Macaca mulatta: one gene and its partners. The protein of the gene in region 4 interacts with the protein of the main gene of each other region in a pairwise test. Links are inferred from orthologs where the notes say so. Each region holds a gene or a part of one and is shown on either strand. Other genes may lie near its edges. The genes, in order: MEOX2, TRIM27, THAP1, TCEA2, TRIM54, GPKOW and CCDC136.

Region 1 (4,569 bases), on a different chromosome or scaffold from region 4:
AATATTGTGCAATGATTTGGAAATCCAGTTAACGATGGGAAAAATCGAGCCACTCACAGTCGGGAACTTGCAAGAGAAAAGTCAAGAAGCGGCACCCGCACGCACGCCTGCCCAACCGACGCTGCATCTCTGGGCGCACGCCCCTCCCTCCCCAGCGCTGGGATGGAAGGTCACGCTTCGCAATCGATTTCACAGCCACTTGTCCTTTTTTATCAACCTTCTGGTAAACTAGTTTAGGACCTTGGAGAGCTTAGAGCTGCTGGCTGTATATGCATTGCTCTCGGATAAACACGTGTCCCCCAAATATCAGGACCAAAGCTTCACCGCCGAATTTGGCCGCGGGAAGCCACAAAGGGCAACACATTCCCATATTCCCCGCTGCCACCCTGTAGTGCGAGAATCTCCCCTGGCATCTCTCCGCCCCCTTTCCAGGCCGGCGCGCACTCTCGAGGGTGCCTGGTGAGCCCTTACCTGAGCTGTCGCTTTTCCTCTTGCCACCGCTTCGCTTCTCCGCCTCCGCAGGTGACAGTGCCTGGCGGCCGTAGTCCCCCGGCGCGCACGCGGCCCCAGTCGGGGTGCTGGAGCCCAAGCTGGAAGAGTTGGAACACAGGACCGGAGGGCTGCTCCCCAACTCTGGGGGCCCTCCGGAGTCGGGCTGGAGGCAGAGGCTGTGTCGAGCCGCACTCGGTGGGGAAGACATCTGCGGGAGGTGCCAGTTGGTTTGCAGAGCCTGGTGCTGCTGCTGCTGATGATGGTGATGGTGGTGGTGGTGGTGGTGGTGGTGCCCCCTGTGATGCTGGCTGGCAAACATGCCTTCTTCGTTGGGGTATCCCGCGATTATGCAAGATGAGGAAGAAGTAGAGAGCTCGGGGTAAGACATATGGTCAGATCTTCCATGGAGGGCGAGAGAAGATTGGGAGAACGGGTGCAAGCCTTGCGCCGTGGCGTGAGGGCTGCGCAGGCAGCCAAAGAGCGGGTGTTCCATAGCATGCAAGTTTCAGGTTCCAGGCAGAAGACTTCAGGACGGTTCCAAAGGCCACCACCCTCTGTCACTTTTCACTGGAAACTGTATGATTTTTTTTTTACCCTCCCAAAGCAATAGCCGTGCACTTCTGCAGAGCTCGGATAATCCCGGTTCTGAGCCCCAGCGGCCAGTCTCCTTTGCATATGAACAGTCGGACCTGGAAGAGCTTCCCTGAACTACTCAGATGTCAAGAGTGGGAGAGGTTGAAGCCAAAAGAAGGTGGTCCCAGAGAACTGCTTTCAGGGGGAAATGGCTCTGAGAGGTTATAAATAGAGTGTAACGTGAGCTGGGGGCCGGCTTAGGAGCCCAGAGTTGACCACATGCAAACTCCCTCCAAAACTCCCGCTCAGTTTGCGCCACGCGCTCCCCAGTTCCACTTCCTATCGCCTGCTGGACAGACGCAGAGCGTCCACGCCCGCCCAGCACTGCCGGCTGCCAGGGCTACAAGCGGCACGCCAGTGCCTAAGTCCCGCCCGGGAGGGCAGCAGCTCTGCCCTCCAGACTCTGGAGGCCTGGGCGCGGCGCACACCACCCCCAACCCAGCACCCTGATTCCTACCTACTCACTTTCCTCTCCGGGAAACGTGATTTGTCAGTGTCATTTGTGAACTGTCACCTGCAGAAAAGCTAGGGATATGCCTAGCCTTTCAGGAACCCAAAAGAAGTAATAGGGTTAAACGAAAAGATCAGAGCTAGTTAGGCGCATCCTCGAAGTTTTTCAAACTTCGCATCTTCCAGTGCCCTGGGCGCCGCAGCGCGCCTAGGTTTTCACAGCTGGTTTCTGTGGGTGGATTGTTAATGGGCTGGGACGCCAGATCTGAGGTTGTGGGGATGAGTACCATGGCCTGGAAAAGGCAGTTCTCAGTGCGGAACCAAGAGGGACCCGGTAGGGTGGGTGGGAGGAAGGCGTGAGTCTGAAAGGGTTGCAGATGCCTGTTCCCTGGCATCCTCTTGTGCGATGCCAGGTGGAGTCTCCCTTCCCCCTCTTTCCTGGTCCCGCTCAATTTCCTAGCCACTTGTCCACCAAGAAGAAATTTTCCTGGGTCAAAAATATTTCCAGGCGATTTTGTCCCGGTCACATGAGATGTGTAGATTGCACGCACATATCTAGCCTTTCCCCTCAGGAGCTAGCCTAGGTCTCCGCAGTTTCCTACAGAAATCCACTCTCTTCCGCTCAAAAATAAATCCGCTAATCGCATCCCTTATCACCACCGTCCCATTTACTGAGAAATCTTACATTTCGATAGCTCCCAAAATTCACTAAGCTTGGGCACTTGGCTATAACTTTGCATCCCTGAAAATAAATTAGAAAATTTGCCTCCAGTAAGCATGCAAGAACGATGGCAGGGCTTTGAGACTGCCACTTGTTTGGCGGGTGACAGGGTCCGCTGGGGGCAGAGTCGTTTACACACAAGTGAGTGGCTCTGTAATGAGCAGGAGAAACAGTCAAGTCCCATCTGGGACCTGTCGCATCAGGAGAATATCTGTAGTCACCTATTCCGCCCGGGGCCCCAAATGCACCACCAGCAGTGTCGCCCCGTTATTTTCATTGTCTCAGGTGTCCAGAGGATGATGAGCAGGTCTTTGAAGTTGTTAGTGGGATTAATGGGTACAGCAAACTGGGCTAGACATCTGGTTTGAATTAGGAAAAAGTATTGATTAATCTTTGAGAGGTGTCCCCAAAGCAGAACCTTCCCCCTCCTCTTCCAGTCCCCCTGCTTAAGCCTCACTATCTTCTTTTCTTGTAAGTCATGCTGTAGAATAGTGGCTTCTCAAAAACATCCGTGTGAAAGATCGAATTGTTTTCTATTGCTTAGAGGTGGGGTGGAGTGGGGGTTGATCAGGAATTCTGAGATTTGTAAGCGCTGCTTTCTTTAACGGAAATTGAGCTCTATTTTGAGGGAAATTAGTTTTGCAGACTTCGTTTAAAAAAAAAAAAAAAACTAAAACTTTTGTTCACCAGCTGCTCAGCTTTTCAGTCTGGGTCTGAGCTGAAACCTGCTGCAAGTCTTTGACGGTAAGAATTTCTTTGCCGATACTTTGGGAATCTAATATTGTTTTAGACTTCGAAAGGGGGTGTTGTTCAGGTTGCACGTTTCTAGGGGCTTTAAGCACTAGCAGGATGGCGTCCAGGACTTAGATCTTAAGAATATTTCTTCCTGCCACTCCCCACGCCCTTGGCTCTTTAAGAATAAAAAGAGGTGGGGGAGTTATAGTCCTCTAATATCGTCGGAATATTTTTTGTATTTTCATTGTGTTTATGGTTTCAATATGTGCTCTGATATTAAAAGTTAAAGTACAAAGAGCAACACTAAACTTCCCCAACTTGTGTAGCTTCTCTATGGATTCTAGGTGAAAGCATTAAAGGCTTTATTTAAAGTGAGATTTAGGCAACCACCTCAATAAGCCTAACCAGAAATATTTACATAATACAATGCTGTCAACTAAAGCATTGTGGAAAATGTCAGACAAGACAGACTAAAATTACACATGATCTGCAGACATCAGTCCAAAACATCCACAATGGTCCTTTTGGTTTGCATTACATTGGTTTAGAGGAAGCTAAGCAATTACCAAATGAATGGATTTGAATTTAACCAGAGTGTTGCAGGTAACTAGCAACAAGAACACACAAATCTTTCATCTCCCAGAGCTGCCACTTCTTCTTAAACCTGCCCAGTGACTGTGCTGGATTTTTTCTCACTCATTGTGTCAGATGTTAACAATCTGTCCAGAAGTTTCTCTACAACCTGCCCCAGTCAGTCAGGCTCTAGAACTTTTTCTAGAAGAAAAATTTAGGAAAGGTTAGAAAAGGAGGAAGTCATTGCAAAGGCATGCAATGAAAGCAAAGGTAGTAAGACAGGTCTTTTTAATTGGAGACACAAAACATTTAATATCAACAAAAATTATGAAGTCCAGTTTTCTTATAGAAAACACAACATAAGGAAAATATTTGAAAGGAAAAAAATGAAGGACTAAAAAGGAGGTCTTGGTAAATTCCAGAATTAAATAGGACTTTAATTTTCTCTGGATTTCTAAATATGTATTAATCATTACATAAAGATTTTTAAATATTAATTTATTCAAATATTTGGAATAAGATAGAATATTGAATTTTATGTTCTAGGTTTTAGAGAAATTTTTAAAATGTAGTAAAAACAGGAAAAAAAAATCCTTAGCTTTCCTATAACAGCTACTTCAGTGTTCACATCCATAAAATCCAATATTGAGAAGATGCCTCTTTATTTAATGATATCAAGAATGGTAAAAATTATAAAGTTTATCATAAAATTTATATAAACAATCATTTAAAACTATATATGACATAGTATTTATCTAATATTTGCAATATACTTGAGTTTTCCTGAAGAAAAGTTATATTAATGCCAATATTTCATGGAAGGTTTCAATATCCAGTAACACATTATAAAGAGGTTGATTATGTGAAAAGGTAAGCTACCTAGCTCTTGTAGGCTCCACAACTATAATGATTTTAAATGTAGGCTAGGTTCTTTAAACTTGATGAGTGTGTATATCTATTGCTTC
Region 2 (3,881 bases), on a different chromosome or scaffold from region 4:
ACACCACCGTGCTTGCCTAAATTTTTACTTTTATGTTTTGTAGAGACAGGGTCTCACTATGTTGCCCAGGCTAGTCTCAAACTCCTGTATGCAAGCGATCCTCTTGCCTTAGCTTCCCAAAGTGCTGAGATTAACAGGCATGAGTCACACACCCAGCCCATTATCAGTGTTTTTGAAGCAGGAAAACACTTGATGATAGCAAGATGCTGTAATACTAAATGCCAGAGGAGATGACATGGATCATACATAGTTTCAGATTTCAGAACAGGAAGAGTGTAATGGCCTGGGCAGATTAAGAAAAACTTGGAGGATGTGTGTCTTGCAGTGGACATTAGAAGAAGATGAATAGAGCTTTGATGTGCAGAGTAAAGATCTTATAGAATGGATAAAAGAGTGATTTGGGCTGGGTGTAGTGACTCACACCTGTAGTCCTAACACTTTGGGAGGCTGAAATGGGAAGACTGCTTGAGCCCGGAAGATGAAGTCTGCAGTGAGCCATGATTATGCCACTGTACTAGTCTGGGTGACAGAGTGAGACCTCATCTCAAAAAATACAGTAAAAAATAATTGTAAAAGAGTGATTTAAAAGGTAAGCATACTGATACAGGTTCCCAGTCCTTTACCCACAGTTCTAAAATCCCCAATCTCTGAAAGCCACAACCTTTTTCATTATTTTGTAGGAAATTACAGTATCAAAACGTGAATTTATGTGGTGCTGTTTAGAGTCTATCCTTCATTATGTAAACATTCGTGGATCTCATAGCAGATCTATTAATATTTCATTATAGAATGCTGCGCCAGACCCTACCTGTCTAAAACCTGTAATATTCTGAATTCTGTGAAACTTTGGGCCCCTGAAGTTTTCAGAATAAGGGATGATGAGCATGTAAGAAAACCTCAATTCAGTGTATCTGCCAGGCACAGTGGCTCATGCCTGAAATCCCCATTGCTTTGGGAAGTTGAGGTGGGAGGATTGCTTGAGGCCAAGAGTTCAAGACCATCCTGGGCAACAGTAAGACCTCGTCTCTACAAAAAATTTTTTAAAATTAGGGTGGTAGTGCACACCTATAGTCCCAGCTACTTGGGAGTCTTAGGCGGGAGAATCACCTGAGCCCAGGAGTTTGGGGTTACAATGAACTATGACCACACCACTGCGCTCCAGCCTGGGCAACAGGACCCTATCTCTTAAAATCGGTTCATAATGGATATTGTGGCTTCAGATGTGAAAGAAAAGATATGGGGCTAAAATTCAGTATTTTCAGTGTATTCTGGTAACCAGCTAATCCAAGCAGTAATTTTTGAAATGTGAAGTTTAGAATATATTCTAAATAAAATACGTGCAACCTCTAGTGGCAAACTCTCATTCGTGGGGAGGTAGTAGAAAGGCACTGAGTGTTCTAGAATAGGCTCTCCTGGCCCGTGGCTGACTCTCTTCTTTGTGTCTCTGCAGTGGACGTGACTCTGGACCCAGACACGGCCTACCCCAGCCTGATCCTCTCTGACAATCTGCGGCAAGTGCGGTACAGTTACCTCCAACAGGACCTGCCTGACAACCCCGAGCGGTTCAATCTGTTTCCCTGTGTCTTGGGCTCTCCATGCTTCATCGCTGGGAGACATTATTGGGAGGTAGAGGTGGGAGATAAAGCCAAGTGGACCATAGGTGTCTGTGAAGACTCAGTGTGCAGAAAAGGTGGAGTAACCTCAGCCCCCCAGAATGGATTCTGGGCAGTGTCTTTGTGGTATGGGAAAGAATATTGGGCTCTTACCTCCCCGATGACTGCCCTCCCCCTGCGGACCCCGCTTCAGCGGGTGGGGATTTTCTTGGACTATGATGCTGGCGAGGTCTCCTTCTACAACGTGACAGAGAGGTGTCACACTTTCACTTTCTCTCATGCTACCTTTTGTGGGCCTGTCCGGCCCTACTTCAGTCTGAGTTACTCGGGAGGGAAAAGCGCAGCTCCTCTGATCATCTGCCCCATGAGTGGGATAGATGGGTTTTCTGGCCATGTTGGGAATCATGGTCATTCCATGGAGACCTCCCCTTGAGGAGGTGGATTCAGGCCAAAAGGGCTGTTGGCTGTAATCCTATGCCAGGCACAAGGCATCTTGTTGCCTTGCCACGTCCTGTCACAGCTGGGTATACTTACCATGTTCCATGCCCTTGCAGTGGGAGACAGGATGTCCATGTTCTCTACCATCCTTTTCCTTCCCGTGCAGATTGTGAAATGTAATGAGATGTATCAAGATATCCTAGAAATAAAAACCAGATGTCCACCTCCAGTGTTTCACACTTTCTGGTTTTACACATTGCTGGAGGGATAAAGAGTATGGATAATCTTTGGATTTGGAGAGCCATTCCAGATACTTCCACCTTCTTGGCTCAGCCTGGCTTCCTCTGGTTCAGCCCCACATAATGATTATGGCTGTTTGCTGTCATTTCTGGGTTAGGGCTCCTTTCTAACAACCTAGACTGGAACAAGGCCCTGTCAGCATGGCTCCGTTATCCCAGTTTTTCCATCTGGGAACAGTACCTCTGCCCCTGATTCCCAATCTGCCATAGTTTTATTAACTCCATTAAAGAGGCCTGTATGTGTTTTGGTTAGTTACAGTTATTTTACAATAATGGTGGGTAATGGCCCCACCTCTGTTATGAGATAATGTTCTAATCAATGTCTCTGCCTTTGTATCTTTTCTGAGGGTTTTGTCTGCTCCCTTCATTCTAATGAAAGGTGTATTCTAGTGCTGGGCGCATATCATCCAGGATAATATTCTGCCCAACTCCATCCTCTGTTACTAGATCCCTTACCAGTCACATTTGTGGACTGGTGGTCAGTGGTATACCATCCCTGGAAGGATTCTGAGACAATATTCCAGGGATTCATTGACTTCTTGGCTCCTTTTCTCCATTTCCTTTGGGGGATAGGGGAATTGACCATTCTTAAGTGCATACTGTCAAGGGGCAGCTCCACCCCCATGGCCATTGGATCATGAGACACTCTGAAGTCAGAAGGCTGGGGCAGATCACTTCAAGCAAGCCCCCATGATGGTTCTCAGTCCTGCTTCTCTTTGGGTACATGCCCCTCTGTTTAAAAATAAAGTGAATATGGATGTTTACATTGTTGTTGCTTTCTGGGTGTTGGTAGGATTGGGTTCAGATGTTGGAATGGGTGTGGGGAGGAAATGGTTAATGGTGTTGCTTTCCCATATGGGTCCCAAAATCCCACTCTGGCCAATAGTTTACTTCAAACTGGAAAATAAAACTACTTTCTCCGTATGATATCACTACTTTCTAGAGGTGCTAAGAAAGTAGTGTTGGACATTCATAGCCTACAGTTCTTATATTGATTAACCCTGTAATTTTACTAGGAAAGTATTTTCTCAAGTCCTTTTTGTAGTATTGTGCCAGGCATTGGGGTTCCATGGCTGAGGTTCATGAGTTGGTGATATCATGTCCTAATTCTTCATTTACTCATCAGGTTTTAAGGGAGCTATAGAAAGTAGCTTCCATGAGGCTAGGTTAGCTTTTGCTGAATATTCTGAGATCTAAATGTATGCAGTTATATATATATATATACACACACACACACACACACACACACACGTACATAAATACTACTAACAAACATAGAGCAGTGCTTGGAACATCATATGAAGAACTTTATGCACAATAACTTACTTAATGCTCATGATAACTTTATCAAGTATGTACTATTGCCTTTACAGATAAACTGCAGCAGAGGGGGTAAATGACTTACCCAGGGTATACAGCTAGGAAGCAGCAGAGCCAGGATTCAAACTGGGATGGAACACATGATCACATACATTAGATCCTGCCCCACAATGTTATCGATTATGGTTTCCTGCATAGAAGGGGCAGAGCA
Region 3 (4,395 bases), on a different chromosome or scaffold from region 4:
AAAAAAAACAAAGGAAGGGGGTTTTGAATTTACGTTTCACAGTTTTCTCTTCCATGTACAATATGCTAGAGCCTGACTCTGCTAGTAAGAGATCTTTATGACAGTCCCTTTTCTTTGTACAACATAGCACTCTCTGCTGCCACTATGCAGACGGTGGGATAAGTGGTACTCCTAGAAAATCTCAGCTGGGGCTGGGCGTGGCCTGTAATCACAACTGTAATCCCAGCACTTTGGGAGGCCGAGACGGGCGGATCACGAGGTCAGGAGATCGAGACCATCCTGGCGAACACGGTGAAACCCCGTCTCTACTAAAAAATACAAAAAACTAGCCGGGCGAGGCGGCGGGCGCCTGTAGTCCCAGCTACTCGGGAGGCTGAGGCAGGAGAATGGCGTAAACCCGGGGGGCGGAGCTTGCAGTGAGCTGAGATCCGGCCACTGCACTCTAGCCCAGGCGACAGAGCCAGACTCCGTCTCAAAAAAAAAAAAAAAAAAAAAAAAATTAGCTGGGCGTGGTGTTGCGCGCCTGTAGTCCCAGCTACTCAGAAGGCTGAGGCGAATCGCTTGAACCGGGGAGGCAGAGGTTGCAGTGAGTCGAGATCGTGCCACTGCACTCCAGCCTGGTGACAGAGCAAGACTCCATCTCAAAAAGAGAAGAAGAAAATCTCAGCTGGAAATGGCCTCTATACGTATAAACTAGGGTGGCATTTGCTGGTAAAATTCCGTACCTATGGCCTCCTGGCTCTGTAAGCATAAACTATGGTAGCATTTGCTGCTAAAATTCAGTCAGTACCTAGGGCCTCCTGGCACAAGGACCACAAATTTACAGCTGTTTGTGAGATTCTGTTAAAATCTTTCCCATCTACTCTCCCTAAACCTGCTCTTTTAGATAAGGGATAAGATGCAGGTTAGCTCTTCTTTTGATTCAATCCGTATGTGTTTAACACCTAGCAGAAACAGTTATTTCTCTCTTTTTTTTTTTTTTTTGACATGGAGTCTGGCTCTGTTACCCAAGCTGGAGTGCAGGGCAAGATCTCAGCTCACTGCAACCTCCATATCCCAGGTTCAAGCGATTCCCCTACCTCAGCCTCCCAGGTAGCTAGGATTACAGGCGTACGCCTGTATTTTGTATTTTTAGTAGAGACGGGATTTTGCCATGTTGGCCAGGCTGGTCTTGAATCCTGACGTCAGGTGATCTGCCCACCTAGGCCTCCCTAAGTGCTGAGAATTACAGGCATGAGCCACTGTGCCTGGCCAAAAACACAGTTATTTCTGACGTGTGAATACCCTCCTTAAACTTGTTTCCAGTGCCAGTGAAACATTTTCCATAATTTTAGATTCCTTCTGCCATGCCATCAGAAATGTGGGTGGGGAGCTGCACATGTAATCCTGTTACCATCACCTGACCTTTTCCTACATTTCGAAAGAACATGTTTACAGAAATTCCAATTAAATTAAGAGACAATATTAGGATATCCTGAACTGAATCCTGTAAGTGTTCTACCCCCTTCGCCAAGGGGTAACATCATTACTCTGGAGACCTATGTTCTACACTCTCTTATTTCTATAGGGTCCATCTCACATGATATCAAACACTTAAAAAATGCATGGACACTCCCCTAGTAAACATAGATGGCTCCACACCAAAATAAAAAAATTGAAAGGATATTTAACATTTTGCTTTTGTAATTACCTAATTATAAAAGATAATTAGCTAATTACCTATGACTAATTTGTATAGTTTACCCCTGGATCTGATTTCTTAGCTATCATCTGCATATAGTTGTCAGGAATTCTTACAAAGAAAACTTAACATAAATGTAATTAAAATTTGTAAACAAATTCAGCTGAATGTTATGTCACATTTTACAAGCGTTTGATTATCATAAGTAATTGCAACTTTGCACTTTTTTTCCTATTTTCAAGAGAATATTTTTGATCCTAGCACTCTTAACTGTGCTACCTATTGGATAAGACAGCTCTGAAAGCTGTGGGGCAGTTTCTTTCGAAAGAGCTTCCTCTATGCACAGGTAATGCCGTAATAAATAAAGATCAGTGTGAGTCATTTTATTATGATCCATGTTGTAACTATCCATATTATCATTATTGTGTGCTGAAAAGATAACGATTTATCTTGGCAGTACCTGAAGCTTTCTTCAAAACTCAGGGTCCTTAAAGCTTAGTTCCTAGAGATTTGGGGCAAAAATTCTCCGGGATTTCCCAGCCAAAAAACCCTTAATTGCTACGATGCTGGCCTCCCATCCACGACAAGGGAAAGGCCTTTGTTTATATTTCAAATTTACCCCTAAGACGTTATTACAACACCTGGCTGCTCGTGACCCTGGTGGCGGCAAAACCCGCGCCACCATAGGCATCGCCCGCGGGCTCCAAACTCGTCAACCGAGGCCTGGAGCGAAGCCTGCAACGAGGACCTGTTCCGAGAGCGCAAGAAACAACCGCCGCGGAGACGCGCGCCGAGAACGCGCGATCGGGCGACGGTTCCCAGCAGGACGCGGCGGGAAACGCCTCGCGCGGCCGGCCCCAGACCCCACCCGCCCCTCGCGCGGACACGCGCCTGGCTCCGCCCCCGGCCCCGCCGGTCGCGCGCCCCCACCCTGGCTAAGACCGGCCCCGCGAGGCGCGCAGGGTCCTCACTTGTGGAAAGAAACGGGCTTGTCCTTGTCGTAGCGGTTCTTGCAGCCGTAGGCGGAGCAGGACTGCACCATCCTTCCGGTCTTCAGGCACTTCACTTCTGCCGCCGCAGAAGGCAGGGGAAGCTGCTTTCAGTGTCGCCGCGCTCGGTTGGACACCCTCGCTCTTTTGTAGCTTTGGCCAACAGTTACAGTAATGGTGGCCTCCCTCTGGGGTGACTAGTGTGCCCGTTTTGTTGTTTGCATTAGCAGAAGGACCACAGCCATCGCCCGTCTCCCATCTCCAAGATGGCGGAGGCAGCTTCAACCTCACCTCTCGCGAGGGGTGCGTCCCACTGTCTCTGATTAGCCCCGAGGTCAGAGGTAACGATTCCTGGGAAGCTAACTATTGGCTGAGGCCAGGTGTTTCCGGCGGTGGCTTCAGAGTTGCGGAAGTGGGCGGAGCCCTGAACTTCCGGTAGGCAGGAAGGAACAGCTTGCGGGGGAGGAGGCGCGGCGGGAGGCTGGATTCCAGGGGCATCATCCAGCCCGGGCTGTTCCCGTGGGTTAATTGATGCGGAGCTTTTCTGGGGCGGCTTACAGTAGGAAACAACTAGGGCCTCATGGAGAACAGGTGTAAAGCCGAGGTCGTTGTCTGATTGCGCCCATTTCTCTAAAAGGGCGGACACAGATGGTGTATGATTAATAAAATTGTGGAACCTTTTCCCAGAATGCTGATCTTTTTCCCATTACCTGTGTCTTCAGGCATCACAAGTCTCTGAGAGCCAACGTGACAGGTTTTTAGCAATGAAAAAAGACACACTCGCCAAATCATCTGAATTGCCAACGCAGAAGCATTATATATATGTATATATGTATGCATATATACGTGTGTGTGTATATATATATATGTAATTTTTTAAAAAAATAGAGGCAGGATCTCCCCACGTTGCCCAGGCCAGTCTAGAACTCGAGCTGAAGGGATCCACCTATCTCGACCTCCCAGTGGGTTGGGATTACGGGAGTTGAGCCACCAGGCCCTCCCTCCCCAGAAGCTTTTGTGAAGGGCTGTCCATTGCTGTGATTTCCATGTGCGGTGTTGCAAATAGGGAGCTGCTGCAGCAGTTTTCACATCTGAGAGAGAATATGTCAGAGGGGTTCGAAATAGAGCGACTCTGTGTTGAGTGAGGGCTAGGAAAATGAGGCTGGGACTTGCTGGGCTGCATTCCCGGAAAGTTAGGTGTTCCTAGCCTCTAGATGTATACCATTAAGGCAACAGATTGATAATGTTTACTAAACAGACCCAGACTTCGAAGTGTCCAGATATCTCGATATTTTGAGAACAGAAGCATTCCTAATTTTGCTTTAAAGATAATAATGGACTGGGCACAGTGCCTCACGCCTGTAATCCGAGCACTTTGGAAGGCTGAGGCGGGCGGATCACTTGAGGTCAGGAGTTTAAGACTAGCCTGGCTAACATGGTGAAACCCGTCTCTACTAAAAATACAAAAATTAACCGGGTGTGGTTGGCACATGCCTCGAATCTCAGCTACTCTGGAGGCTGAGGCAGGAGAATCGCTTGAATCTGGGAAGGCGGAGGTTGCAGTGAGCCGTGCTTGCACCACTGCACTCCAGCCTGGGCGACAAGAGTAAGACTCTGTCTCATAAATAAATAAAGATATCGATTCTTACATAATATAGTAATTAATCCTTTATCACAAACCCTTGTAGCACAGCACATGTCCCCATGATCTTTTTTTATTCTATA
Region 4 (3,938 bases):
GCACGCACGCAAGACCCTCTCCCCACCTGCCGCACAGGCAGCCACCCCAGGTGATCTCTGAAGGTCAGCCAAGCTCCTCTCCTGGGGCTGAGCCACCAGGGCCCACCAAGCACTGCCTGACCTCAGGGAGGGGCCGTGTCCACAGCAGCGCGAACAGGTCAAACATGGGGACGGGCCACCAGGAGTAACAGCTGAGGAGAACGAGATGGCAAAAAGAAACATTTAATAACGAGGGGGAAAGGGCAGAAAGGTGCAATCCAGGCAGGCAGGTTGAGGGCAGGACATGCCGCCTTCTAGGGTCTCCAGAGAAGCTGTATCAACGGAGGACGTGGGCGGGGGAGGCCAGCACTGGCCACGGCCCAAGGCTGCAGCACATCTACACGAGGGCTCAGCAGAACTGCGAAAAAGGGGGTGAGGCCTCCAGCCTTGTGGCCACATGAGACTCCCCAGAGAGAAGGCCGCACAGGCTCACCCAAGGCTGCAGTCTCCGCCCACCATGCCCAAGACTCCAGGAGGCTGGCTGGGCAGGGCCATCCCCAGTTCACACCACAGACCCCACAGAGGCTGACACACCCCACCTCCAGAGAATGGAGCTGGAAGGGGCAGCCTGAGCCCGCTCACCCACCTTCCAGCGGTTTCCACACTCGTTGCAGACAACAAAGGTGGTCATGGGTTCATCAGAGCTGCGGGTCTGCACCTGTAAGGAGGGCTGGGTGAGCCTCCATGCTCTGCTACAGGGAGTGTCCCCTCAAATGGGCAGAGCTGGCCTTGCAGCCGCTGAGCTCCCATAGGTGACCTGATCTGAGGCCACCTTGTGACTCCAACCTTCCAGAGCTGAGCCTCCCGGGAGGGAGACAGTGTCTATTGGGGCAGAGGCCCTTGCGTGGGCTTGAAGCAGCTCACATTGGCTGGGGACCAGCAGGGCCCAGACTTGGCTAGGCAGTAGGGTCCCAATGGTGGGGGGAACTAGCGGGGGTCCCCAGTGCCCGTGGCTGCCTTCTGGAAGGCCCAAGGGTGAGCCTCAGGCCACAGGCAGAGCCTGTTCCGACCAGAGGCTGGGAGCAGGAGAGAGGCAGGCTCTGCACAGACCCAGGCCCCATGCAGCCTTTGAGGGGAAGGAAGGGCTGTCCTTGCAGCCCCTCACGAGTCCCATCTGCCAGGCGCAACGGCCGCCTCAACACACTCCCCCCCTTTTTTTTTTTTGAGACAGAGTCTTGCTCTGTTGCCCAGGCTGGAGTGCAGTGGCGTGATCTTGGCTCACTGTGCAACCTCCACCTACCGGGTTCAAATGACTCTCCTGCCTCAGCCTCCTGAGTAGCTGGGATTACAGGCGTGTGCCATCACCCCCGGCTAATTTTTGTATTTTTAGTAGAGACGGGGTTTCACCATGTTGGTCAGGCTGGTTTCGAACTCCTGACCTCATGATCCACCTGCCTCGGCCTCCAAAAGTGCTGGGATTACAGACATGAGCCACCGTGCCCAGCCGCACTCCCCTCTTAACAGGGTCCCTGCCATCTCATGGGATCCACAGTCTCCCCGGCACACTCAGTGTCCACCTCCATGGCAGGGACTGAGAGTCCTGCGGTCACTGCCAGGCAGCAGGCGCCACGGCCCTCCCACCAGCATCAACCTCGAGGGCCCTCCGTGCAGCTGGGCTGGGCGGGCCGGGCCCTCCGACTTGAGCACCTGGAACAAGTGGACCCCACCACCCAAGACGCTGCCTCCTGGGGCCCAGGGTCCTGGGTAGAGGGGAGTGGTCCCTGAAGGTGGCCATCATGCCTTAGCCTAGTCAGGGACAGAGAGGCTCGGAAAACTCACAGCAGAGGCGGGAACAGGTATGGGCTCCTAGGAGGGGCACGGGATGGCCTGAAGACACTGGGCCCGGGGGAGGTGCCCAGCGGCCGCTCACCTGCGTGTAGGTGCAGTTCTTCTTTCTGCACTTGCCGCAGGTGAACAGGTCTGTCTGCGTGCCGCCAGTACGGGCCATCTGGTGCTCTCGGATGGCCTCCTTGGTCATGGCCTTACGGATCTCCTTCAGCTCATCACTGGCCATCTCCTGGAGCACGGGGCCAGTGGCTTAGCCCACCACTCCGAGGGGAGCAGCCCTCCAGCCCCTCCAACAGGGGCTCACCTCTGAGGTCATCACGGCAATCTGCTGGGGGGTTATGGCCCCACACAGCACGTTCCGCCGCAGGTCAGGGTTCCTGGCATCCTTCAGGTTGGAGATACGACTCCGCACACGGTTCTTGTACTTCATGTCTGTGTTTCCAACGTCCCGGAAGATGCGTGCAAGTGTTTAAGGACCCACCCGAGGACAACGTCGCTGCCCTCCACCTACCACCTGCCCCGCTGGGGGCCATGCTGGGGTGCTGGCTGGAAAGGTTCTGCCCAGCCACACTTGGTGGACAGGTGAAGGGCTGCAGGGCCGAGCCTGCCACAGGCCCATTCCTGACTGAGACCCAGCTTCAGGCTACAGCCCCAGGGAACCTAGGCCCCACCAGCAGGCAGAATCAGCCTCTCAGCTGGTCTGGGGGCCTCCTGGAGCGAGACAACCTGACTACCCAGGCAGGTGACCCCCCCCAGGCAGCTGACCCCCCAGGCAGCTGACCCCCCTGGCAGGTGACCCCCCAGGCAGGTGACCCCCCCCCAGGCAGGTGACCCCCCAGGCAGGTGACCCCCCCCAGGCAGGTGACCCCCCAGGCAGGTGACCCCCCCCAGGCAGGTGACCCCCCCCCAGGCAGCTGACCCCCCAGGCAGGTGACCCCCCCAGGCAGGTGACCCCCCAGGCAGGTGACCCCCCCCAGGCAGGTGACCCCCTCCCCAGGCAGCTGACCCCCCAGGCAGGTGACCCCCCAGGCAGCTGACCCCCCAGGCAGGTGACCCCCCAGGCAGGTGACCCCCCCAGGCAGGTGACCCCCCAGGCAGGTGACCCCTGGACAGCTGGGCAGTGGCATCCAGCAGCCACCAGAGGCCACCAGGCCAGGCAGCCTCCTGACTCCACCAGAAACCCAGACCCATAGCCCTGCCCAAAGGATATATTCCTCGATCTGAGCCGACAGGCGCTGGCAGTCCGCACCGATGGCCACGTGGTCGTCTGCAAGAGGGAGCCCTGACTAGCTGCCCCCACTGGTTTCTCCACCTGCCACCCCTTCTGCCTGCAAATCACCCTGGCAGCTTAGCGGGGACATCCGTGTCCCTGGAAGAGGCCCACGATCCAGGCACAGGCCCCACGCCGCTGCCAGGGCCGCAGCAATGGGCTGGGGGAGGAGAGTCGCCCCTCTAGAAGCAGGCCTCCTCGGGCAGGCAGGGGCCTGGGCCGCCCTGAGAATCCCAGCGGGTGTCAGGAGCCAGGGCCGGCCGCACTCACGGGCCGTCTGCAGGGCAGCAGTCAGCATCTCGCGGCACTTGTTGCGTACGGCATCACAGGTGACAGGCACCGGAGGAAATGTGGTGATCCTTGGAGTCGACGGTGCCCTGGGCAGCTCCGGCCTCTTGCGGCTGCAGAGAGCCAGGGCCAGCTAGACTCAGACTCGAGGCTGTACCCCAGCAAGACACTGATCCCAGAAGCAGCAGGTGCCACAGCATAATCCCCCCCAAACCCTGCTTGCTCCACTCTGCCAGAGTCCAACAGTGGCCAGTGGCCCTGCCTATCTTGAGCCCAGATGTCCATGGGGTGTGCCCAGCAGCCAGGAGGGAATGGGCCGTGAGGTCCCCAGTGGGTCAGGATGTTCCCCAGGTGGGAACAGGATCCCAGACCCAGCAGTCCGCATCTGGGCAGCATCTCCAGTGGATCCGAATGAACCTGGCAGTTCCTGCCACCTCTGGGGTGCCCACCTGCGGGGCCGCAACACAAATACTCTGGTGAGGGCAGCTGCAGCTGGTCAGGGAGAAGGAGAGACCCACAGCTGCCTGGTGGGGAGAGGGAGAGACCCACAGCT
Region 5 (4,600 bases), on a different chromosome or scaffold from region 4:
TCTGAGGTGAATAGCAGATTTGCTTTTCATGATATGAACCCCTACACTGCTTGAAAACAGTATGTTTACATGTTACAAATTCTAAATGATATACTGGTATCGCTTTGATAACCGTTAACTTTCTAGGCAACACTCTAAGGGTATTCTTCCTAAGTGGTTTGAAGATAGAGGAAAAGTCCTATTCTTTCCAAAAGTCCTATTCTTGCCCCATACTTAGAAAACAGACAATCTGATTATGCCTACAGTTGTCAAAATGTGGAGGCAATGTGTGAAAAAACTAAATCTGCTCATCTTTCCGAGGGAGATCTACTGAGATATATTGAGATATACAGACTTGAGTGCAGCTGAAGAACTGGGTCAGCCTCCCACCAGGCCCTCCCAAATAAGCAGCAAGGGATGAGCTCTTCACTCTTCCTCCTTGGAGGGGCCAGGGCTGCTCTGCACCTCAAACGACACACATCACTCCAGACCCACAGGGCCACCCCAAAGCCCTGGGTATCACGTTATCTCCAAATATTCTGTACAGGGTTTGCCCCAAGCCATTCCAAGGTCTCTCTGAGCCCAGATCAGTATTCCAGAGCTTTCTGGAACTGAAACAGTGTGCTTGGGTAGAAAGGGTTGACTTAAACAAGCATGTCACTTGAACACATTCTAGCCTCCATGTATGGGGACTGCTCCTGGGCCCCTCTGCCAGACGACAGAGGCACCCAGGAATGCTCTTGGACATTCTGACCACTTTTCTATAGGACACGTCACCTTAACTTTCAAAACTTCTCTTTGTTTTCACGCATTTCAAGTTCCAGTGAGAGGATGTTTCACTGTCAGTTCATGAGAAATGATGGCAAAATCTTTCCGCCATTTCCTCCTAGGCATCTCAGCCTGAAGGATGTTCGGAATTCCTCAGACCAAGGAAACACCAAGATGGTGGGCAAAGCATTGCCTCTCATGCAGGACTTCATGCACAGGATGAGGAGGCATAGCATTTGGTCTGGGTCCCCCGAGACGGAAAATCTACTGCCTCTGAGATACTCTGGAGCTGAATAATGGCAGGTTTGGACACATAAAAGAATAGGAGAGGGAATGGGCCTCAATGGGAAGATGGCAGGAGAGACCACAGAGTGCTGGTCTTCAGTGAAGATGACACACAGCAGACATACAAGGGGCGGGTCACAGGGTACATCGTGGGATGGCGGGACCTAGCCAGTCCATTCCTTTCCCAAACAAGCTGCCCCGAGGAACTTAAGAGGGAAGTATTTTCTTGGTTAGGTTAAAAATCCCTTGTGTTTAACACATTTCCTCATCATTTCTGACACTGAAGAATACTTGTTTGGGATGTTCCGTATCACTGACACACATACTAAGCCAGCTCTGGTCTATTCAGGGTTTGTTTTTGTGTTTTTGAGACAGAGTCTTGCTCTGTCACCCAGGTCAGAGTACAATGGCATGATCTCGACTCATGGCAACCTCCGCCTCCTGGGTTCAAGTGATTCTCCTGCCTCAGCCTCCTGAGGAGCTGGGACTACAGGCGCCTGCCACCACGCCTAGCTAATTTTTGTATTTTTGGTAGAGATGGGGTTTCACCATATTGGCCAGGCCGGTCTCGAACTCCTGACCTCGTGATCCGCCGGCCTCGCCTCCCAAAGTGCTGGGATTACAGGCGTGAGCCACCACGCCCGGCCACATTCAGGGCTTTTGCTTAATCGGCAAGGCCGCGTGTGTGTGTGTGCCTTTGCCCCTCACTCTCCCTGATCTCTGTTCCATTTCATAGCCTACTAGAACCTCCCCGGTAGCACAGGAAAAGAAAAAAAAGCCCACTTATAATCCATTCTGGTATATGCAGCTTTTATTTCTAAACCAGTGGCTAAAATGGTATCTGTGAATTTGATTAGCTATGCTTGGCTCCATGACCACAAATAAACCAAAACTGGCTAGACTTCTAAAAGTAAATTTCTTTGCCTTCTCTCTGCTTGTCAAGTGACCTCAATAGCTTTGAACCAGTAGGCCTCTTTACTCAACAATCTGGAGGTAACAGGTATGAACTCAAGTTGGGGAAGAGTTCCCAGTCTCCTGCCCACTGCGTCTAACTCTGTCCCCCACAACGGATGCCCTGAACTTTCCTTAAACACGAATCGTTTTACTGCCATTATGGAGCTTTCTCACAGGGTTGGGTTTTTTCTGTTTGTTTTTTAATGTTTCATTATCTCATTAATCTTTTCTCCGTATTTTCCGCAATGCTCTCAAAGTGTGAAACTCCAAACTGGAATGCAGAGTCTGGCACAGGCTCTTAAAAGACCGGTGTAGGATCCCCTCCCTCCCAGTTTCCACAGGGTCTCCTTTCCTCAGCAGATCCCAGCACTCCAGCTGCCGTCTATGGACAGGCTGTACCTGCCAGCCTGCAGGGCAGCTGCTGACTCATGCTTGCTCTGGGATTTGCTTGGACCCCAGCCCTTCTGCTCTCCAGCCACAACAGCCACCACCTACCTCAGAGAGCACTCTATCCATCACTTTCTGGGGTCTTAGCTCTGACCTGATCAGTCCCCCACAGGTCTGCATTGCTTTACCTGGCCCTGCCCCATCCCTGGCGCCCACCTGGAAGACGTCGTTGGCACACTTGCGGCACAGGTTGTGTTGGCAGGGCAGGATCACCACTGGTTTGGAGAACATCTCCAGGCAGATGGGGCAGATGAGCTGCTTCTCCAGGTTGTCCATGCTGTGTGCATCCCCTAGCAGCGGCTTGAAACCCACGGTGAAGTTCATCCCCTCGGTGGTTGTGCCTACCCTGGCTTGGGTCCTGCTCCTGGCCTTCACTCACTGTCTGTAGACCCTTCCTCACTCAGACGGCCTGTGGATTCCCTTCTGTGGCTCACTCTTGAAATAGCTCTGCTCTCTCTCCTGTCCCTTTAACAACTTGTCTCGTCCCAGATAGCAGTCTTCAGACACTTCTGTCTCCACTTTCTGCTCTGCACCCTCGGCAGGCTCACGTAGTTTTAGCTATCCCTCTCTCTCTGTAAAGTCCTCCTTTTGTTTCCCAAATGACTCTCTCTTGTTCACTCTGTGGGTAGCACTGTTTGTCCCTTACTCCCCAGAGAGGAGATTAATTTTACTGTGGGGGTGGGGAGACAAGGGGCATCTGCATGACATTCCAATTCCCAATTTAGCTCATGTAAGGCGAGCCACAGCTGTCACGGAGTGAGTGACCCTGACTCACTCAGGAATGGGTGACTCCCCTGAGCAAGGGCAGGGGCAAGCACCACTGCTTACGGTGAAAGGTGGGTCAGCAAAGGTGCTGCCCTCTCACTCTGAAGGCTCCTCTGAGCCCAGGACCCCTGCTCTGGCTTGGGCCCTTCTTCCAGGACAGTGACACAGAATCTAAATCTGCCTGTGTGAGAAGCACCCATACATAGCTCAGGGTGGGAGGAAAGATCTTGCCAGACTTAGAGTCAGTAGCAGTTGCCTCCTCCACAGGCTCAGCCAGTGACCCTGGTCCTCCTCCTCAAGACTGTGTGATTCAGAACAGCAGCTCCAGAGACTCCATCAAGCCTCCTGTCCAATACCTCTGGCTCATTTTTGTTCTTGCCTGCCTTTTCTTATATCACCCTAGGAAATGAAGCTCAAGAGGCTAGAAATGAGTATTGTGCCAAGGCCTGGACCTACCTATGAGCATGCGCCCGAGGAAATGTGGGATTCTGGTTCGTGAACACATCCCTGGAGCCACTCCAAGGACTTCAAATTTGTTAGGAAATTGGGAGAAGGTGAGCTGGGCAGAAAGGACATGAATGCCAGGGACCTATTTTGGGCACCCAGGGAATCAACCTCCAGGGAAATTTTAGAGCACTGACAAAGTCATAATCATAAGGCTCCAGGAAGCCTCTGCCCCAGCTCCACAGTTGTCCAGGACTCCTCCTCTCCAAGCCAGGCTCGCCCCAGTTGTGAGCACTGGTCTTCTTTTTCTCCTACAGGTCTTTTTCTCCACTTGATATTAGCCAAAAAGCCAAGAAGCAATTTCTTTAGGCCTTTTTCCTCCACCCCAGACACAATTTGTCTTTTCTGGGTCCAAAATATGCCTTGGGATTGGACAAAAGCTCTTTTATTTACCGCCATTCTTTAGCCCTTCTCCCAGTCCAGGAAGAGAAGTCTGAGGAGTTAGTAGGTAGTGACCCTGAGTGGGTAGGAAATACACGGTGTGAGGAGGATACGAAACAGCAGCACAAAGAGGCAAGAGTGGGAAAAGAGTCCAGAAAGTGCAATCTTCTCCGGATCACATATTTCATGCCCCTATTTTTGAGAACAAATTATATGTCAATTGGCCTGCATAAGATGTGAAAAGGATGGAGGCAAGCTGGCACTGATGTCTGAACTTCAGTTAACCCACAGGACCAAGGCTAATGCATGCTGTTCTGGTAGCTGAAGTCCAAGGAGAATCTAAAGATGGAATGACTACCCCTAAGCCTCAAATGCACTCGCAGTTTTCCTGAGTTGACTCATAGTGGCATGGAATGAGGCTGGCAATGCCAATGGCCGTGGGCACCAGAAGGTGAGACCAGCTCCATAAAGGCATTATTGGCTTAGGAATGAGGCTGATGCTAGGGGTTCTTGGTAC
Region 6 (3,938 bases), on a different chromosome or scaffold from region 4:
CCTCTATAAACCTCCTCCTGCAGCTTTATACATATCAGGTGACCAAAAATTCCATCCATCCTTCCTCTCACTCAGCATAAAAACCTTGGAGTCGGCCAAGCCTGTAATCCCAACACTTTGGGAGGCTGAGGTGGGCGGATCACCTGAGATCAGGAGTTCAAGACCAGCCTAACCAACATGGCGAAACCCCATCGCTAGTAAAATTACAAAAATTAGCTGGGCATGGTGGAACATGTCTGTAATCACAGCTACTCAGGAGGCTGAGGCAGGAGAATCGCTTGAAACCAGGAGACTGATGTAGCAGTGAGCTGAGATTGTGCAACTGCACTCCAGCCTGGGCAACAGAGCAAGACTTCATCTCAAGAAAAAAAAAAAAAAAAAAGAAAACCTTGGAGTCATCCTCAATTCCCCTCTTTATTTCATGCCCCATACACTCTGCCAGCACAATCCTTCATCTTTTTTCAAAATGACACCCAGAACTGACCACTTCTCACCGCCACGAGCATCTCTCATCTGGACTATTAGAGTAATTTCCTCACTGGTCCCTCTTATGGCTCCCACCTGGCTCAGGGTCCTCTGACTCCTGCCCAGCTCTCCTGATTTGATCTCTTCCCCACCCTTCTCTGCTCTCTACTCTCACTATCTCCATTTCAGTCATGGTGACTTTTACCCCTCACACATACCAAGCCTTGTCCAGCCTCAGGGCCTTTGCTGTAACTGTGCTTTCAGCTCGGGACACTTTCTTCTCATATCCTCATGGCTCCCTCTGCTATCATTTCCTGATCTCTGCTTAAATGTCAACCCAGAGGCACTCCCTCTCCATCCCTCTGCATCTTCTTACCCTGCTTTCTTGTTCTATACGTCACCACCTGACATATCATGTTTTCTGGGTTTTATTTATAGTATGTCTCCACAACTAGATCAGAAGCTCTGCAAGGGTAGGGGTTTTTGTCTGTTTGGTTCACAGCTTCATCCCCAGTACCTAGAACAGTACTTGCCATAGACTAGGTGCTTTCTATTTGTTGAAGGACTGAACATGGAGGAGTACAGTGAGGGATGGAAAGAGGAAATCAAAACACCCTTGAGCTGATTGGAAAAGATGCGTAGCAGGTCTCCCAGTGGGTGGCAGCAAGTGCACTTCAAACAGAGGACCCAGTGTAAGCAAAGCCTGACCCTCCTTCCTCTACCTGAACCTGTAGGTGCCAGAGGAGGCTAATTATGAGGCGGTCCCCGTGGAGGCCTATGGGCTGGCCATGCTGCGGGGCATGGGCTGGAAACCTGGCGAGGGCATCGGCCGCACCTTCAATCAGTGAGTTCTGGGATAGGGGCGAGGGGACAGACAGATCAGGCTGCAATCAAGATCCCCAGGGTCACTGCCAAACCAGAACCACTCCAGGCAGGGAGGGAGGATACATTATCGCCCTAACTAATTCAGTAGCCCCTTCCACTACTGTTTTAAACTCCCATTTGCCCTTTGAAACTCTAATAGGATCCCATTTATATAAAGTCTGCCTCTAGGGACATCAATTTCTTCATCTGAAAAATGGGGGTAATAGTACTGACTTCACAGGTCTGTTGTGAGAGTTAAATGAAATTATACACATAGGCCAGGTAGTGGCTCATGCCTGTAATCCCAGCATTTTGGGAGACTGAGGCAGGAGGATCACTTAACCCCAGGAGTTTGAGACTGGCCTGGGCAACATAGGGAGGCCCCATCTCTACAAAAGATTAATTCATTTTAAGAAAAGAAATTAGGCCGGGCGCGGTGGATCAAGCCTGTAATCCCAGCACTTTGGGAGGCCGACAAGGGCGGATCACGAGGTCAGGAGATTGAGACCATCCTGGCTAACAGGGTGAAACCCCGTCTCTACTAAAAAATACAAAAAACTAGCCGGGCAAGGTGGCGGGCGCCTGTAGTCCCAGCTACTCCGGAGGCTGAGGCAGGAGAATGGCGTAAACCCGGGAGGCGGAGCTTGCAGTGAGCTGAGATCCGGCCACTGCTCTCCAGCCTGGGCTACAGAGCGAGACTCCGTCTCAAAAAAAAAAAGAAAGAAATTAGAGCCAGGCGCAGTGCCTTGTGCCTGTAATCCCAGCACTTTGGGAGGCTGAGGCGGGTGGATCACAAGGTCTGGAGATCAAGACCATCCTGGCTAACACGGTGAAAGCCCATCTCTACTAAAAAAAAAATACAAAAAATTAGCCGGGCATGGTGGCGGGCGCCTGTAGTCCCAGCTACTCAGGAGGCTGAGGCAGGAGAATGGCGTGAACCCAGGAGGTGGAGCTTGTAGTGAACCGAAATCGCACCACTGCACTCCAGCCTGGGCGACAGAGTGACACGCCATCTCAAAAAAAAAAAAACAAAAAAGATAAACTATATACGTAAAGCACATACAGTAGGCCCTGACCCCAAGAAAGCGTAGACTAAACATTTGCTATTGTCATGCAGACTTACAACCCTTTCTTCGCAATTGCAAACTCAAGAATTGTGAAAACCAAACATTTTTTTCATAACCCATTGGCAGCCAACTATGACCTGAATTGGCGTTGAGTTTTTTTTTTTTTTTTTTTTTGAGATGGAGTCTCTGTCTGTCACCCAGGCTGGGATGCAGTGGTGCAGTCTCAGCTCGCTGCAACCTCTACCTCCTGAGTTCAAGTGATTCTCCTGCCTCAGCCTCCTGAGTAGCTGAGATTACAGGAATGCACCAGCACGCCTGGTTAATTTTTGTATGTTTAGAAGAGATGAGGTTTCCCCATGTTGGCCAGGCTGGTCTTGAACTCCTGACCTTAGGTGATCTGCCAACCTCAGTCTCCCAAAGTGCTGGGATTACAGGCATGAGCCACCGTGCCCAACCATGTTGAGTTTTTATAGTCCGTTTCTCCTGCTTGGTGTGAATATTCATATGATTTCCCCTGTAGAAATAGTATATTTGGTTACAGTGATCTGCCTCTGATCTCACTGTAGATATTATGTAATAGATGGTATATGCAGCATGTTATTAGGTCGAACCAAATGAAATTGCTGTTTCTGTAGGTCAAAAACAGTCCTAATATGAGATCGGAAAGGGCAACCTTGAAAATACCGATGGGGGCCAGACATGGTGACTCACACCTGTAATCCTAGCACTATGGGAGGCCAAAGAGGGCGGATCAGCTGAGGTCAGGAGTTCGAGACCAGCCTGACCAACATGGTGAAACCCTGTCTCTACTAAAAATACAAAATTAGCCAGGCATGGTGGCATGCTCCTGTAAACCCCAGCAACTTGGGAGGCTGAGGCAGGAGAGTCGCTTGAACCCAGGAGGCGGAGGTTGCATTGAGCCGAGATTGAGCCATTGTACTCCACCCTGGATGGCAAGAGCAAAACTCCGTCTCCAAAAAAAAAAAAGAAAAGAAAAGAAAATGTCAATGGTGGGGGTGGGGGTTTGGGCAGGGAGAGGAGGTAAATAAGGTGTTGAAGACTATTGCATCCTCTCCAACAAACCCATGTTCTCCCTGCAGAGTAGTGAAGCCCCGTGTCAACTCACTGAGGCCCAAGGGGTTAGGGCTGGGTGCCAACCTGTCTGAGGCCCAGGCCTTGACCCCCACCGGCCCCTCCCACATGCCAAGGCCAGATGAGGAGCAAGAGAAGGATAAGGAAGATCAGCCTCAAGGGCTGGTGCCAGGAGGAGCTGTGGTGGTTCTTTCTGGCCCTCACCGAGGCCTCTATGGGAAGGTAAGGAACCAAGATATCCCGGGAGCCCAAAACAGGCAGTAGGGAAGGTTGATCCGAGGGTCAGATGGAGGAATAATTGGGTTTGAGGTAGAAAGGCTGGGAGTCCTAGTCTTTTAGGTCTGCTTGGCCCACTGCCTCACTCAGTAACCCGGGACCACTTGCTGGCCTTTGTGAGCCTCAGTTCCCAGCTAAAAGGAAGAGAGTGCCATATGCCACAAGTCCCTGAGG
Region 7 (3,938 bases), on a different chromosome or scaffold from region 4:
ACCCCAAACTTAATTAAACCTTCAAAAATTCCTAAAAGTTCAAGAGTCTGCTTCGGTTGAGGCTTTGAAGATGAGCACACAGGGCAGATCTTCAGGGCAGATGAGAAGAAGGACAGCTATCGGGAAGAGGAGCAAGACTCACTGCACTGTGGAATTTCCTGGGCCCTGTCTTCTAAGCCTCTATCTCTCTTTTCTGTCTTTAGAAAAAGAGAAGCTCTTTAGCCTTCTGCTCTCATGTTTCAAAACAGGAAAACTGGGGGCTGGTCATCAGTGCTTTCCTTTCCTCCTGGTCTCATCTCTCTCTGCTTGTCCTCTGCAGAAGAACTGCAGGAGCTGCGGGAACGCTACCATTTCCTGAATGAGGAATACCGGGCCCTGCAGGAGAGCAACAGCAGCCTCACTGGGCAGCTTGCAGATCTGGAGAGTGAGAGGTACAGCTGTCTCTGGAGAGTGAGAGGTCATGGGGTTCCACAGGACTCTGTCTTGCCTTGGGCTTTCCCCTGAAGGCAGATGCCAGGGCAGTGAGCGTTCCTCTGCTCCTGGAGACCCAGTCCTTTCCATGGTTTCCAAAGAATACAGATACCATCTACAAGCAGACATGGGGATCCGACCCAGTTATCTCAAGACTAGAGGGAGTGAGTTCTGAAGTTTACTTTTGCTCTAGGCACTGGGTTCTGGTTTGCTCTGCCCTGAAGTAGATCAGAAGAGATTCGTTTATTGTCCGCATAGACTTGTTTCAGTCTAATGGCAGGCACAATGCTTCCAGATTGGAGTGGGCTTGACTAGGCCTAGCCTGAAAACTAACTGGACTGGCATTCTAAGGGTCTCCCAGAGTCAAACACACCTTTGCAGATTGAGGTGCTGGAGACTTTCCATAGTCTTCTAAGCATGTTTATCTGAGCGGTGAGTCACAATAGAAGGCCCCTTACTATCTTTGGCCTAAAATGAAGGCATCAGGACCAAGCATGCATGGCTGGTGTTGCCAGGCAGAACTCCCTTCAAGCACAGCTCTGGGGTTCTGGATTGCAGGACACAGAGAGCAACAGAGAGATGGCTGGAGTCCCAAACACTAAGTATGACGTCGGCAGAGTCTCAGACTTCGGAAATGGATTTCTTAGAGCCTGATCCTGAAATGCAGCTGTTACGGCAGCAGCTACGGGATGCTGAAGAGCAGATGCATGGCATGAAGAACAAGGTAGGGCACAGAGGGTGGGGAGGGCAGGCACGTTTCTTGTCTTTCTTTCACCTTCTCCCAGCCTGTAGTAGAAACATCTCCACAGGCATGCACTGTGACGGGAGACAGTATTCTGGGGTCTTGCTTGCCTGATGTAAATCTTCCAGTCAAAGAATGCCATACTTTCCCCAAGCTTGTTCTTGGAGCACATGTGGTATCTGTAGTAAACAAGCCTCCCTGTTCCATTTCCTGCATAGTGTCAGGAATTGTGTTGTGAGTTGGAAGAGCTACAGCATCATCGCCAGGTCAGTGAGGAGGAGCAGAGGCGGCTGCAGAGGGAGCTCAAGTGTGCTCAGAATGAGGTGCTTCGGTTTCAGACCTCCCACAGTGTCACTCAGGTAAAGACTGCCCAGGGAGTCATCTGGGGTGGGGGCAGAAGGGCCTCATGGAGGGGCTGCTTCAACCAGGGTGGGCACAGTGAGTATGGCTGTGCTCTGCTGACTCTTGCCCTGCAACTGGGCACAGTCTGCTGGAAACCAACTGTAGAAGTCATATAGCACTGCATTCTAGAAATGGTGGTCATTACTGAGTGTCTGTCTCACAGAAGAAACCAAACCCTAGACCTGTGGGAGCTCCTCAAGATGTCTGCATCTGAAAAGGAACCCAACTGATCCGTAAAAAGATCTGCTGTTTCTCCAGAGTAACTGTTCTACTCACATCCTCCCTACCACAGAATGAGGAGCTGAAGTCCAGACTCTGTACCCTGCAGAAAAAATATGATACTAGCCAGGATGAGCAGAACGAGCTCTTGAAGATGCAGCTGCAACTTCAGGCTGAGCTCCGGCAGCTCAAAGTCATGAAATCCACACTTGTAGAAAAGCAGAGTGAGAAGGTAACAGCAACCAGAGGTGAGGGGACAACTTAGGTGCTAAGGGCATCCTTCTGAGGTTTTGGGAAAGGTGGATCAGAGTAGTGAGTTAAAAATAATTCCAGCAACCACATAGACAGCACCACAGGTAAAGAACTCCAGCCCTGCTCGAGTACTACATTAGATATGAGGACATTAGGAAGTGAAGGGCAGGGAGAAGCAAATCTTAGACTGTCGGTGTCTTCAAGTGACTCACACAGAAGAGTGAGTGGGTTAAGGAGCCCAGAGGCACTGCCCAAAGCCCCCTCTACCATAGGAGTTACTGTGCCGGCTGCAGAAGCTGCAGCTCCAGCACCAGAACGTCACATGTGAGAAGGAAAAGCTGCTGGAACGGCAGCAGCAGCTGCAGGAGGAGCTGCAGTGCCATGAGGCGGAGCTGCAGCACCTCAGGGATACGGTGGCCTCCTTCAAAGAGAGCAGTGAGAAGGTAAAAGAAGCTCCTGGTGAGGGAGGATGTAGCCTCATCTTGTGTGGGGGTGAGAGTGCAGAGGAGGAGAGGGAATGGTAGGAGTGTGGAGGAGCTGGCAGTGAGGGGGCCAAAGAGGTGCTTAGGAGAAAGGTAACCTCAGGGAGTCACAAGGCTCTCATCTTCCTTTGATTTTAAATCAGAAAAGCAGCATATAAAAAGGAAGTCCCTTTCCCTCCCTACCTCCCAAAAAAGGAAGCCCCAGAAGATCTGTGTTTCTTTTTAAATTATTTTTATATTTATTTATTTATTTAACTGGAGAGGCTACACTGGGAAGGTCTGTGTTTCAAGCCTGTCAGGGACGGGTCCATCTTGGGTATATATCCCAGGCTGGGATGAAATTGGGGCTGAGAAGGACAAAGGAAGATGGGTCCCCTTAGTCCCTGCCTGGGAGGAGAGAGTTCAGCAGCAGGAGTGCCTGGGGTGATGGCCAGGCCTGCCTCCCCTGCCCAGAACACAGAGACGCACGCTCAGCTTCAGGAGATGAAGCAGCTGTACCAGGCCAGCAAGGACGAGCTGGAGCGGCAGAAGCACATGTATGACCAGCTGGAGCAGGACCTCCTGCTCTGCCAGCTGGAGTTGAAAGAGCTCAAGGCCTCCCAGCCCAGTCCGGAGGACAAAGGAAAGTGTGCTAACAAGGTAATTGTTGTTCAGAGAGGTGACAGCTCCTGGGCACTGGCTCCAGAGAGAGGAGGTACAGAGGCAAAAGATGAAGGCACCCAATCGAAGGGCTTGATGGGCTTCCTAGGCAGGAAGCAGAGGCAGGGCCACATGCTGCTAACTACAGAACCGTTTGCCCTGACCTTGACTTTGAGCCGGAGCCACAGCTCAGTAGGATCAATACCTTTGGATCCCAGTCTGAACCCCTGAAGGTTTTACACATGATTCCATGTATGTAGACAATGGAATATAGAGTGCTGACTAGGCAAGAGAAGGACCTAGGCTTTTTCAGGATTTATTCTGTGACTTTGAAGTAGTTAAATTCTTTGTTGTTGTTGTTGTTGTTGAAACAGAGTCTCACTCTGTCACCCAGGCTGGCGTGCAGTGACACGATCTCAGCTCACTGCAGCCTCTGCCTCCTGGTTTCAAGCGATTTTCCTGTCTCAGCCTCCCGAGTAGCTGGGACTACAGGCACATGCCACCGCGCCTGGCTAATTTTTGTATTTTTAGTTGAGACGAGGTTTCACCATGTTGGTCAGGCTGGTCTCGAACTCCTGACCTCAGGTAATCCACCTGCCTCGGCCTCCCAAGCTTCGATGACAGGCATGAGCTGCCATGCCCTGCCAGTAATTAAATTGTTGAAGGTTGAATTGTGCCCTCTTTAAATGGAAGAGAATTCTACTCTTATCTCACTTCCTTTTAGTAGTAAA

Evidence for each region.
Region 1: the proteins of TCEA2 (region 4) and MEOX2 interact in binary tests that used the Homo sapiens proteins (3 or more experiments, as listed by UniProt). The two-hybrid records come from large-scale screens. The link is inferred for Macaca mulatta from reciprocal best matches to the Homo sapiens genes TCEA2 and MEOX2.
Region 2: the proteins of TCEA2 (region 4) and TRIM27 interact in binary tests that used the Homo sapiens proteins (3 or more experiments, as listed by UniProt). The two-hybrid records come from large-scale screens. The link is inferred for Macaca mulatta from reciprocal best matches to the Homo sapiens genes TCEA2 and TRIM27.
Region 3: the proteins of TCEA2 (region 4) and THAP1 interact in binary tests that used the Homo sapiens proteins (3 or more experiments, as listed by UniProt). The two-hybrid records come from large-scale screens. The link is inferred for Macaca mulatta from reciprocal best matches to the Homo sapiens genes TCEA2 and THAP1.
Region 5: the proteins of TCEA2 (region 4) and TRIM54 interact in binary tests that used the Homo sapiens proteins (3 or more experiments, as listed by UniProt). The two-hybrid records come from large-scale screens. The link is inferred for Macaca mulatta from reciprocal best matches to the Homo sapiens genes TCEA2 and TRIM54.
Region 6: the proteins of TCEA2 (region 4) and GPKOW interact in binary tests that used the Homo sapiens proteins (3 or more experiments, as listed by UniProt). The two-hybrid records come from large-scale screens. The link is inferred for Macaca mulatta from reciprocal best matches to the Homo sapiens genes TCEA2 and GPKOW.
Region 7: the proteins of TCEA2 (region 4) and CCDC136 interact in binary tests that used the Homo sapiens proteins (3 or more experiments, as listed by UniProt). The two-hybrid records come from large-scale screens. The link is inferred for Macaca mulatta from reciprocal best matches to the Homo sapiens genes TCEA2 and CCDC136.

Annotation. Positions count from the first base shown.
Region 1 is NC_133408.1:112,580,186-112,584,754, reverse strand, and holds the start of MEOX2 (homeobox protein MOX-2), read right to left. Parts: upstream 2,961-4,569; 5' UTR 986-2,960; coding exon 472-985; intron 1-471. UniProt on the Homo sapiens protein: Mesodermal transcription factor that plays a key role in somitogenesis and somitogenesis and limb muscle differentiation. Required during limb development for normal appendicular muscle formation and for the normal regulation of myogenic genes.
Region 2 is NC_133409.1:154,436,966-154,440,846, forward strand, and holds the end of TRIM27 (zinc finger protein RFP), read left to right. Parts: intron 1-1,450; coding exon 1,451-2,046; 3' UTR 2,047-3,108; downstream 3,109-3,881. UniProt on the Homo sapiens protein: E3 ubiquitin-protein ligase that mediates ubiquitination of various substrates and thereby plays a role in diffent processes including proliferation, innate immunity, apoptosis, immune response or autophagy.
Region 3 is NC_133413.1:44,941,570-44,945,964, forward strand, and holds the start of THAP1 (THAP domain-containing protein 1), read right to left. Parts: upstream 2,944-4,395; 5' UTR 2,724-2,943; coding exon 2,653-2,723; intron 2,527-2,652; exon of another isoform or gene 2,373-2,526; coding exon of another isoform or gene 2,323-2,372; intron 1-2,322. UniProt on the Homo sapiens protein: DNA-binding transcription regulator that regulates endothelial cell proliferation and G1/S cell-cycle progression.
Region 4 is NC_133415.1:116,959,237-116,963,174, reverse strand, and holds the end of TCEA2 (transcription elongation factor A protein 2), read right to left. Parts: intron 3,499-3,938; coding exon 3,368-3,498; intron 3,095-3,367; coding exon 3,038-3,094; intron 2,287-3,037; coding exon 2,132-2,286; intron 2,057-2,131; coding exon 1,910-2,056; intron 698-1,909; coding exon 626-697; intron 398-625; coding exon 389-397; 3' UTR 207-388; downstream 1-206. UniProt on the Homo sapiens protein: Necessary for efficient RNA polymerase II transcription elongation past template-encoded arresting sites.
Region 5 is NC_133418.1:97,700,121-97,704,720, forward strand, and holds the start of TRIM54 (tripartite motif-containing protein 54), read right to left. Parts: upstream 3,037-4,600; 5' UTR 2,758-3,036; coding exon 2,590-2,757; intron 1-2,589. UniProt on the Homo sapiens protein: May bind and stabilize microtubules during myotubes formation.
Region 6 is NC_133426.1:49,201,045-49,204,982, reverse strand, and holds part of GPKOW (G-patch domain and KOW motifs-containing protein), read left to right. Parts: intron 1-1,199; coding exon 1,200-1,309; intron 1,310-3,496; coding exon 3,497-3,710; intron 3,711-3,938. UniProt on the Homo sapiens protein: RNA-binding protein involved in pre-mRNA splicing. As a component of the minor spliceosome, involved in the splicing of U12-type introns in pre-mRNAs.
Region 7 is NC_133408.1:168,439,474-168,443,411, forward strand, and holds part of CCDC136 (coiled-coil domain-containing protein 136), read left to right. Parts: intron 1-319; coding exon 320-431; intron 432-1,029; coding exon 1,030-1,195; intron 1,196-1,431; coding exon 1,432-1,572; intron 1,573-1,907; coding exon 1,908-2,066; intron 2,067-2,358; coding exon 2,359-2,529; intron 2,530-3,021; coding exon 3,022-3,207; intron 3,208-3,938. UniProt on the Homo sapiens protein: May play a role in acrosome formation in spermatogenesis and in fertilization.